3 linked regions of the Rattus norvegicus genome follow. The protein of the gene in region 1 interacts with the protein of each later gene in a pairwise test. Links are inferred from orthologs where the notes say so. Each region holds a gene or a part of one and is shown in the gene's direction. Other genes may lie near its edges.

The links.
Region 2: the proteins of Cdc5l (region 1) and Ywhaq interact in a two-hybrid assay, tested with the Homo sapiens proteins (2 studies listed by BioGRID and IntAct). The link is inferred for Rattus norvegicus from reciprocal best matches to the Homo sapiens genes CDC5L and YWHAQ.
Region 3: the proteins of Cdc5l (region 1) and Sh3bp5 interact in a two-hybrid assay, tested with the Homo sapiens proteins (2 studies listed by BioGRID and IntAct). The link is inferred for Rattus norvegicus from reciprocal best matches to the Homo sapiens genes CDC5L and SH3BP5.

What each region holds. Positions count from the first base shown.
Region 1 is NC_086027.1:23,061,371-23,065,116, forward strand, and holds the start of Cdc5l (cell division cycle 5-like protein), read left to right. Parts: upstream 1-1,026; 5' UTR 1,027-1,131; coding exon 1,132-1,176; intron 1,177-3,541; coding exon 3,542-3,645; intron 3,646-3,746.
Region 2 is NC_086024.1:46,692,493-46,696,238, reverse strand, and holds the start of Ywhaq (14-3-3 protein theta), read left to right. Parts: upstream 1-1,363; 5' UTR 1,364-1,408; intron 1,409-1,778; 5' UTR 1,779-1,818; coding exon 1,819-2,112; intron 2,113-3,746. UniProt on the Homo sapiens protein: Adapter protein implicated in the regulation of a large spectrum of both general and specialized signaling pathways. Binds to a large number of partners, usually by recognition of a phosphoserine or phosphothreonine motif.
Region 3 is NC_086034.1:6,602,576-6,606,221, reverse strand, and holds part of Sh3bp5 (SH3 domain-binding protein 5), read left to right. Parts: intron 1-2,131; exon of another isoform or gene 2,132-2,399; intron 2,400-2,938; coding exon 2,939-3,103; intron 3,104-3,646. UniProt on the Homo sapiens protein: Functions as a guanine nucleotide exchange factor (GEF) with specificity for RAB11A and RAB25. Inhibits the auto- and transphosphorylation activity of BTK. Plays a negative regulatory role in BTK-related cytoplasmic signaling in B-cells.

The sequences.
Region 1 (3,746 bases):
AATTTCCTATTTCAAGAGAAAAATAATAACAAAAATCGAATCGGAAAATTCGTCATGTCTTCGAGAAGAGGCAAAGAGAAGCACAGACAATGGCAATGAACCACTGCAGAGCCGCTATGCATGGAATAAAATCTTTCCCTAGGGACCTGGGGTGGCACCAAGTAATTGCTCTGGAATAGTGAATAGTCTGCGTGGGAGAGAGGGAGAGGAGATAGCGGAGAGTTTGACAGGTTCCACCTCACCGAGTGTTTATGAAGTCGCAGCTGTCCTCCGATTTTATGAACAAGAGTTCGCCCTTAGTTCCACTCTTCAGATGACGCCGCCGCAGGATCCCAGGGGCAAGTCTCCCTCAACCCGCCGAGTTTGTTCCACAGAGACCCACCAGTGAGGTATGAGTGAAACCCGCGAGCGCGACACTTTGAGGGCTCCTAGGGCGCACCTTCGTGAACTCCTCGGGGGCTGAGGTGAAGTTTGCGCGGCTCTTCTAGGAAGGATAAAGAACACTTCGGGAGAGCAGTCGCGTCTCTCAGGGTACAGTTAGGACCTTGAATCTGTTCAGCATCCTCGGCACTTGGCACTGCGGGTTGTAGTTCCCAGAAGAGAACAGACTCACCCTATTGCATCTCCCTGAGGCCTCCGCGAAGTTCTTGTCGCTTAGATGCCAGCGGGGCGCTCCGTTAAATAAACTAACAAAGCTCCCATCCGATCTAGCGTGGTGCGGAACGCCACACCCCTGACTTCCCTACCCCCCTCCCCCTGTACCGCCCCCCCGTGACTTCGGGACCAATCCCTTCACGCGTTGCCGGCCAAGTTCCACCTCTGGCATCTCGCGAGAGTTTTGTTTTCCTCCAACCTGTCTGGGACCTGCGCGCGACGTCGGGCGCTTTGGCCTCTACGGTTTGATAATTTTCCGTCAGTGTTAAGGTTCCAAAATAGGCCGCGTCTTTCGCCTTCGGCCTCTAAGATCTCGCGAGATTTACCGGGGGCTGCTCACGCCGCGCCTGCGCAGATCTCATCAAAGCAGAAGGTCGCTCTTGGAGGAAGTGGCCTCTTTGCGTCCCGTGACCGAAGCGCCGTTACTACTTTCTCGAAGCTCCACTCGGCCGCTTGCCGGGACACTCCGCCGCCAAGATGCCCCGGATTATGATCAAAGGGGGCGTGTGGAGGAATACGGAGGTGAGGCAGCTTTTCCCGCCGTCCGCAGCCCTCCGCCGGGTCCGGTAGCGAGTGCGCACGCGCGGACAGCTCCGGGAGCCTTGGCTGTCCCGCGGGGGTCTGCGTGGGGGGCCGCGACTCTGCGGACCCGGGAGACCCTTGCCATGCGTGGGTGCGGATGCGGGTCACCTGGCTCAACCTCGGGAACGAGGTCACGACTTGTCGGTCGGCGCTCCCCGCCTGGCATCTGCTAGGCCCTTGAACACTTATTTGTTCAGTTAGGGACGCGCCCCCTCCTCTCCCCTGCAACCCTGTGGCGGCTCCGACGGGACCCCCGCGGAAGCCTAGTTTTTCTCCAGCTCCTTCCTTTGTCAGTTCTAGCAGAGCGAAGCGCTGTGACCGCAACTTTGTTTTTCAGTGACTTACTTAGCGGGGGCAGGCGGCGCGTTTACGTCTGCACCTCTCTGCTTATCTGGTCCCCGGGCATAGTCTGTCCGTTCTGCAGATTCCCAAGGTCCTTTCTCTTACCTTCCAGTCACGCCACCCTTGCTGGGATAGAAGCCAGTATAGGGTGGTGTTTGCTTCCAGAAATGTAGTAGATAATGTCACGGTGAGCGGAACGGGAGAAGAAAGGAAATAAAAGAAATGAAATGAACGTGTATTTAATCGGATGCGCTGAATGTAGGAGTACCTTTACGTCTCGTACCTTCTTGAGATAGCTTCTTATTGCTTGGCATCTTTCTGAGTCTCCTCCAAACTTAGCTGAGAACACTTCTTGGAGTCCTTGCCCATAAGCCGTCCCGTTGAGAGTTGGTTGTTTAGTGGGTTTGTGGCACCTATTTTTCATTCGCTACAGCTCATTTTGTTGTCGCAGGCACTTCTGTGTGGTTCTGGCGGAGTTTAACTTCTCAGAGCCTCAGTTTACTCATTTTTATAAGACACATAATAGTGTTTGAGCTCTTGAAATGAGTTGGCAGTTTGGAATATTTCAAACACAGCTGGGCACATTAGTAGGCTTTCAGTAAAGTTGAATTGCTGTTGTCCTCATCAGACAGCAGTGCAGAAGGACCAGGCTTTGGTCTGCTAGTATGAAGCAGGCTGCTTGGTGGTGTTTGGGAATGAATCTTGTAGGATAGGGACCTGCCACATGTATTTGGTTGAAGATGTGCTGAAAAACTTTACAAATGGAGGTACTAAAAAGGGTCTTGCATGCACCCAGGCTATTTAAACTTGGAAGAGGTGATTTCTGAGGAAGAAGTAGAATCACAAAAATTTAAGTTACAGCAGTGGTCAAAACCCTGCAGAGGGGTGTGTGTGTGTGTTTGAGATAGGGTCTCATGTAGCTCAGATTGGCTTTGAGCTTCTTATGTAGATGAGAGTGACTGGTAATTTGTGACCCTCCTGCCTCTACCTCTCCAGGGCTGGGATTACAGGTGTGTACTGCCATGCAAAGTCTTATGGGAATCTAACCCAGGACTTCATGTATACTAGGTGGGGACTCTACCAATTAGTAATGGGAGAGAAGATGGAGTGGAGGGGCTTAAGTATAAGGCAGGCAATGCAAGTTCATTGTGGAAAAAGCCTAAAAGTAAAGTGCTCAAGAAAGATCTACGACTTTCATGTTTGTGAGTTTGCTTGGCAGGTTGTCTGGGGATTGGGTTATGCTATGGGTACCCCGGTGAAGTAGTTTTTGGAGATTGGAGTAGATGGTGCTGACTGATGAGGTAGAGGGAAATGTGGATCCTGAGCTGTTGTGGTTAGTAGGATGATGGAGAGGAAATGTGTTGAACCAGAGTCTCAAGTTGCTTCTTTGATTCTCTTTCCTGGAGTATATAATGAGACCTGGTTCAAGGTAGATATTCAGGAAGCTTTGCTTTTTTTGTTTTTGTTTTTGTTGCAGTTGTTATTTTTGTTTTGAGTAAATATAAATATGAACTCTATCTTTGAAGAGAATGGCAGGTACATATGGGTGAATAATTTTGTCTGTCATAAAGTAGTGTTTTCAGCATTGACTTTTCCCACCTCCAGTTTGTTGAGGGGCAGGTAAGATGTCCTTTCTCTCTTTTTTTTTAAAGATATATTTTACTTTAAAAATTATGTGTCTGTGCATGAGTACAGGTGCCTTCAGTGGCTAGAGACTTTGAATCCCCTTGTAGCTGGAGTTATAGGCAGGATGCCTGATAAGGGTGCTGGGAATTGAACTCACATTTTCTGCAAAGAGCAGTACATGTTCTTAACCACTGAATAATAAAGTTTCCATGCCTTTTTTATTTTTTTAACGATCGTGTGCCTCTCTCTACAGGACCTCTGCGGGGACTAACTTAAGTTTTGTCTTTTCTCATTTAGAGGCTTGTGACTGAATGCATTCTCTTTGGTAACTCTCTAGGATGAAATTCTTAAAGCAGCGGTAATGAAATATGGGAAAAACCAGTGGTCTAGGATTGCCTCATTGCTGCATAGGAAATCGGCAAAGCAGTGCAAAGCCAGATGGTATGTATGTACCAGTCAGTCCAGGGGAAAGCAGTGTGATCCGGATCCCCACTGTGATGAGGGAGCTGGCTCTTTGACCCCCTCTATTCCCCTAAAGCATG
Region 2 (3,746 bases), on another chromosome or scaffold:
GGGGCAGCTGGAAAGGAATCTGAATTTCTGGAAGCTTCGTCCCTTTCCCTCCTTGCCATCTGTGTTTACTGTTAGACCTTCCGTTCTATGGACTCTATGGACTCTCCAGGTCCGCTTGGTTCCACCATGCATTTGAATCCACTTTGCCCTTGGCAGTCACTGAAGTTCTTTGAACCCTTGAATTGGAATCTCAGCAGAGCCGGGTGGCAATTTCAAATCTGGTAGGACAGCCACCTCACTTGGACTTGGATTGTAGGGCCCGGAGATAAGGGAGCGGATTAAAGGAGAAAAATGTTAGCTGTGACCCTGAATACATAGCATCTGGGGCAAGTGTTCTCATTTCAGAAGGGTGTTTATCGTGCGGAGAAAGTCAGCACGTGAGAATTTTGGCTTTACAAGGATCTTCACAAAAATATGAGGGGAAAAAAAACAAACCTAAAAGCACCCCTCCCCCCAAAAAACCCCCCAAACCACCACACACAAAAACCTAAAGCATGTATACATGCTTTACAGAGTACAAAGGTGTGTTGGGGGCGGGGTGTACTTAGACATTAACGTGGAAAAGAAAGAAATGTTTGTCCAAACCGTGCTTAATGTCATTTCCCGTTTTAAAGAAAAGCTTACCTGACGCTGCCACGCGGACCCGCCCAGATCTCCTGAATCTACCTTTCCATAAGGAAATTCCTGGCTTTCGGGTGCCTGTGTGAAAACTTGAACTAAGACACTTTCTCTGGGAACGAATTCTTTTTTTTAATGGGGATCGGGATATTTCTGATTGTAGTCGAAACAGGAAATTTATAAGGGTTGCACTTTAACGTCTTGAGGATCCAAACCTTGGTCAAAAATAGGAAGGTGGAAGAAAGGCGCTTGTGCAACAAACGGCCAATTATCTCACCCCTGCGTAGTCCAGCTGCAGCCGCAGCAGCCTAAGAGCTGCAACGCCCCATCTGCAGAGGCCGCTGCTGCAGGACACGCGGCCACTGCCTCGGAGGTCGAACGCACCTCCGGTCCCGTGCCGCACCCAGGAGTGCCGGGCTGGCGGGGAGGATGAGGGGAGTTGGTAAAATCATCGCCATGGCAACAGTGACGTCCATTCACCCTGGATCTAATTGGAGGAAACCCCGTGGCCGAAGCCGCAGCCTGCGGGCCAACCGAACCTACCCGAGCCGACCCACCCTCCGAGCCTCCGCTTCGCTTCCCGCCCCGCCCCCTGGGCCCCCTTCCGCGCGCTCGCTCTTTATTGGCCATTGGAGAAGCTGGAGGCGGGACTCCCTAGGGAGGTGCAGTGTTCTATTGGTCGGTAGCGAGCTCGTCGGCTCCGCGCTAGGCTGAGACGGGAGGGTCCTCGGCTAAAGCCCAAAGCAGATCAAAGTGGTGGGACTCGCGTCGCGGCCGCGGAGACTAGAAGGTGAGTTTGGGCACGGCTCTGGGCCTGCCGCTGCAGCCGCCGCCGCGTGGGACCGGGGCGGGGGTTGGCGGAGCTCAGTCCTCGGGACTGCTGGGCTACCGCGCGCCTTAGGGTCGGGCTGGGACGGGAAGGTGCGGCTCCAACGGCCGCTTCCATCTTGGGCCGGGCGGGGCCCGTGCTCCGGCCTCGGGAGGCGCGGCGGGCGGGCGGGAGGGCGCGGGCGGAAGGCGGCGGCCCCGCGAGAGGCCCGAGGACGCAGCCTCGTGCGCTGAGACAAAGCGGGCGTCCGGCTTCATTGTCTGACGTGCTCTCCCCTCGCTCCTTTTTGTCCTCTCCGGCGCCGCCCCGCCCCGCCCCTCGCGGCTCTCAGGAGGACTCCGGATCCGGCTCGGCGCTCGCCCTCGCTCGCCATGGAGAAGACCGAGCTGATCCAGAAGGCCAAGCTGGCCGAGCAGGCCGAGCGCTACGACGACATGGCCACCTGCATGAAAGCCGTGACGGAGCAGGGCGCCGAGCTGTCCAACGAGGAGCGCAACCTGCTATCTGTGGCCTACAAGAACGTGGTCGGGGGCCGCAGGTCCGCCTGGAGGGTCATCTCGAGCATTGAGCAGAAGACCGATACCTCGGACAAGAAGTTGCAGCTGATCAAGGACTATCGGGAGAAAGTGGAGTCTGAGCTGAGGTCCATCTGCACCACGGTCCTGGTGAGTCGTGAGTCGTGCACCGGTAGCAGTGAGGGAATAGGGCGGCGGGAGCGACCCTTTTGTGTGGTCCTCTCGATGGCGAGAAACCTGTGGGGTGGAGAGCTTGTGAGATGAGCCCCAGGCTTCTTCACACCTGTTTCAGAGCTTTCTCGGGGGTGAGTAACTTCCCAGGGTGTGGGTTCCAAAAACTTGGTACAGTCGCGTAGGCTTGCACAAGACCGAAAAGATCTATTTACTTGTGCCAGGAGTGTGGTCCTGAGATGTGTAAGTTCTTTTAAGGGCGATCGGTCACTTTGGGGGTTTCATGTGATAGAAGGCATGGGGACTTTTACCATAGAAATGCTAGTATTCCCCCGACTCCGGTAAGAATATATTTAGCCTTTCCTTGCTAAAGGGGTGTGTGTGTGTGTGTGTGTGTGTGTGTGTGTGTGTGTGTGTAGGGAGAATTCACTAAATGAAAAGTTCACAGATAATTTAAAGAATACAGTGTCCTGGTGAAATTTCATTAATTTTTTCTTTTCTGTTTGTTGCCTCACTTAAGTCCGGTGTGTGGAAATAAAACGAAAGCATTTCTGGTGTGAATGGTTAAGGAAGGTTTTCCAGGTTTTGAATATCCAGTCCCAGCAGGGATGTTAACTGCTATGAGATTCACCCTTATTAGAGGGAGCACTTTTAAAGCTTGGGTCATTGCACAGATCTCTTATTCAATAAAGCAAGTTTCTAAAATTTAAATAGCATACTGTGGAGTGCCAGATATTAATGCAGCAAACAGTTACTTCTGTGACTGCACATCGATAGGTAAAGGCTGGTAGAAAGTAGCTGCTGGGTTTGCCCTTTACATGCCACCTTTATAAGAGGCAGCTAGTAGCTAATAAGCTTGCTCTGTATCTTGCCTTTTGAAAGGCAAGCATGCAAGGTTTCATAGGAGAAGAAAAAGACTTTCCCTTCTAGCCTTCATTTCTTCATCACATCAAACCAAAGGAACCTAGAACTTTTGTTCCCTGCTGTGTAAAACTTAACCTACCTGTTTTTCTAAAACAAACGAGATTATCTGAGTAAAATCATGGTTGATAGATTCAGATGTTAGGGGTCAGAAGCAATCAGACAGATTTCAGAGTGAAGTGCAGAAAACTGTTGCTTTGTAAGGATGCCATTTTGTTGTGTTAACATGTATGTGCTCTTTAAGTTTCAGTCCCTGCGTAATAGTCCCTGTTCTTTGGTCTGAGTTTTTTACATTCTAGATATGTCAATTTGGATAATGCAGACTTTAATAGCATATATTGATGGCTATTATTAACACTTTGTGGTTTACTTTCTGGTAAATAGCCAGTTCTGAATCACCAGATTTTTCATGTAAGCTAGCAGTTTAATTTTGAAACAAAAGAATATTTTTTAAGGTTTATTTATTTTATATATAAGTACACTGTAGCTGTCTCAGCCACACCAGAAGAGGGCATCAAATCTCATTACAGATGGTTGTGAGCCACCATGTGGTTGTTGGGAATTGAACTCAGGACCTCTGGAAGAGCAGCCAGTGCTCTTAACCACTGAGCCATCTCTCCAGCCCCCCACCCCCTTTTTTTAAAGATGTATTTATCAAAAGGAATATTTATTCCATCTTGCAGCTCTTACAC
Region 3 (3,646 bases), on another chromosome or scaffold:
ATCGCGTTTTAGAAAATGTTAGGGTCCCAGGGGATGAGCCCGTGTCTCAGAGCTGTGGAGAAGCCGCAGGTAGACTGAGGTTGGAGGGATGGATCACAATTCATCTCCCTTAAACCTGTCCAGATTTACTCTTCTTGGACCCGTCTGGAAAGATGGAGGCCCCAGACTGTTCTTGTGGCAGAAGTAAGAATGGGCAGGGGGCTCAGCTGGAGAGAGAGTCGGGTTGTCAGTGCCAGACAGTTACTTCTCAGTGGCTGATCGGTTCTAGAGAGGGTGGGCATCCCCATCCCTATGTGTGGTTCCTGCTACCTCAGTGGATGTAGATGGCTGGTAGGGGGCATTCATTGAGGCTGTTTTATTTTTATTATTATTATTATTATTATTATTATTATTATTATTATTATTATTGAGGCACGATTTTGCTGTATAGCCCAGGCTGGCTTTTTTAAATGCTCCTTTCCAGTCATTATCAGATTTCCTACAGACCCTGTCTCATGGTCCATCTTTGGAGTCTGACCTCAGGCGCTCCCCTTGACCTCCCTCCATCATCCTGAGTTGCAGCTCCTGCCTGCCCTTCAGGTCTCTCTTTAGGAAAACTTTGCTGGGTTTCCTCTTATGTGAAGCAAGTCCAATTCTCCTGCCCTGCACATAGCCTTGCACATAGCTTTCTGCACATCAGCTACATGTGGGGCGCAGTCCCCTGAGTGGATCTCTGTGGGCTGGAGGGCTGGGACTGTGGCTGTGCACAGACCAGAGTAGCGGATGCCCGTCTCGGGTTACCGTGGGTTACCGGGCTGTTTCTTCCCCCAGGGCTGTGGTGTTCTCAGCTTCTTCGTTTCTTTTCCCCTTAATTTTCTTTGCAAAGTACCCACAGTCTACGTGAAGACTTCCTCTGAGTCATGTGAGACTTTCTCTGGGGAAGGGTGGGGCCCACTTGTTCCCCTCTTAAGTCCCAGGGGCTGTCCTGTGGGTGTCCCACCAGGGTTTTCATAATTGGACTCAGGGAGTGGTACTGGGGCTGATTAGCATGTAGCCATGCCCCGCCCCTGGCCAGACAGGAAATTGGATGTGAGCCCGAGAAGAGAGGTCAGCAGTGTGGCCCCACTGACTGCTTTTAGGGGAGCGTGCTACAGAGCATGTGTGGACATCAGAGGACTGCCTCAGGTGTGGGTCCTCACTGACTACCTTGTTTGAGATAGGATGTGGCTATGTTTCTGCATTCACCACACTAGCCGCCCTGGTCTGTGGGCATCTGGGGGATTCCGCTGTCTCCGCCATCTCCCTCCCGCCCTGGAGCACCAGGTTTCAGAGGCATGCTAATCGGGTCGGCTCTGTGTGGACTCTGGGGACTTAGACTTAGGTCCTCACAAGTGCATAGCAAGCACTTTACCTGGGAGGTGTCATCTTCCCAGCCCTGCATATGATGCAGTCACATCACTCAGCCCACTCTTGAGGGGGGAACACCAACAGCCCTAAAGTAGTAGAGAGTCACCTACGAGGAAACAAACAGATGAGATTGATTTCAGTTTATCTTAGTTTAGTATATCTCACATCTCATCCATCTGAAAAATGGCAATGGGATAACCAACATTTTTCTACTGAGATTTTAAAATGAGGTGGATATTCTTTTGGTGTGTGTGCGCACGCACGTGTGTGGTGCATGTATGTATACTCACATGTGGCATACATGTGAGCATGTATGTACTCATGGCTATGTGTGCACATGTGCTTGTGGGTGAGTGGGAATCAAGAATCTTCCTCAATCAATGGTCCGCTTCAGTTTTTGAGCCCGGAACTCTTCAGCTAGTCTTTCTAACCAGCTTGCTTCAAGAACCGCCGTCCTCATTTTCTGAGCTGGGGCAGCTGCCACACCTCCAGGCGTTTGTGAGCTTTGGAGATCTGAGCCTCCGGTCCTCTCGCATGTGTGGCAAGCACCTCAACTCCTGAGCTCTGTCTAGGCTGTAAGGGATGTTTACATTTTTCGTTAATCACATTTAGATGCTCTGGGGTTACATGTTGGCCTGAGACTTTTTAAAGTGCTGGCAGTGCAAGCATCTGGACCGAGTTCCCAATCCACAGGACCTGCGTAAGAAAGCCAGGCCCAGCAGTAACCCCAGCAACCGAGAGGTGGGTGGATCCCAGGGCTCACAGGCAGCAGCCTAGCCTCACAGGGGACTTCCTGCCAGTGAGAAGCCTTGTCACAGAAAACAAGGCTCCCGAGGAGTGGTCTTCAGTGTTAACGTTAGGTTTCTCCATGTACACACGTCCACGGACATACACGTCCTTGTACGTACATGTCCACGGACATACACAGGCCCGGCATACGCTGTCTGCCGTAGATAGGAGCACAGCTGCTGTGTGCGTTTCCCTTCCTTCTGAAAGCAGGACGTGTGCTCTTGGTAGGCCTGGGCCTGGGTGTCAGTGTGGGCTGAGAGGGCTGCCTGGCAGTGGGCTGCTAGGCTGGCAGTCGTGTACTGGGGTGTTTGCCTGGCCTGGAGCCTTGTTTCTGACCAGCTCTGCAGTCTCAGGAAAAGCTGTTTCCAGCTGCTAGGCCTCATCTGCAGAATGGGGCCTATAACTGTGGTCTCTGGAGCACTCTGGGCTGTGACGTGCAGGGAAGATTCCCAGGACTGCTATGCCCACCTGGGCTTCATTCCTAAGCCAGGGCATCAGAGAAAGGCCTCATTAGCCATTGGCAGCACAGATGCAAGGTCTGTCGAGCTCCAGACTATGGAGGCTGTCTGCTCACCAACCTGGTATTCACTCAGCCATCGGCCTCCTGTAACCCCATCCTGTGCGTGAGGGACTTCCCTGTGCAGCCTCCAAGAGGGAGGCAGAGGTGGATCAAATCCTGGGCCACTCATCTCTGGGGGTGGGGGATGGACCCAGGGACCCCCGGGCTTCACCTCAGGCCTTACAAGACCTTCTCTCTCAACAGGCTCAGCTAGAAGCGCAGAAAGCCACACAGGACTTCCAGAGGGCCACTGAGGTGCTCCGTGCAGCCAAGGAGACAATCTCCCTGGCCGAGCAGCGGCTGCTGGAGGATGACAAGCGCCAGTTTGACTCTGCTTGGCAGGAAATGCTGAATCACGCTACTCAGAGGGTAGGTGTGGCCGTGTGTGCTGGTGCTGGGGACCCAGGCCTACAGGCTGTTCTTTGACTCCACACGAGAGTAGAGGTAGCTTTCTGGGTGGCATAGAACCCTCCTGTACAGGCCATGGACTCTCTGCCTTATGTAGTGTGTTGGCTGGCAGGGCTTTAAGCCACCAGTGACAGGTGGACATAATCTTTCTCTGTATTGCCTTAAATGTGTCCTCAGGTTCATGTGGTCCACCACTGTCTTGGCAGTGGAGTTGGGTTTTCCAGAGGGGCCAGGATGTTCTCCAAGGTTGGCTTCATGACCTCAGAAGGACTGCAGGCCCCAAGTGGAAGCCCAATTAACACTTTTGACCTGCCACTGGGTATATGTTGGTGGTGGGTGAAGTACCCAGACTGGAATAAGTGGGTAGACCCTCAGGAAGGGCCTTCTGGGTGAAGCTTGCGTCTGGGGAGTAGCGCTCTGTAGGCAGGAGCTGGGAGTGGTTGTCATAAGGGCTTTACGTCGCCATTATTTGGCTCTTGACCTGTTCCCACCTTGCTCAGAATT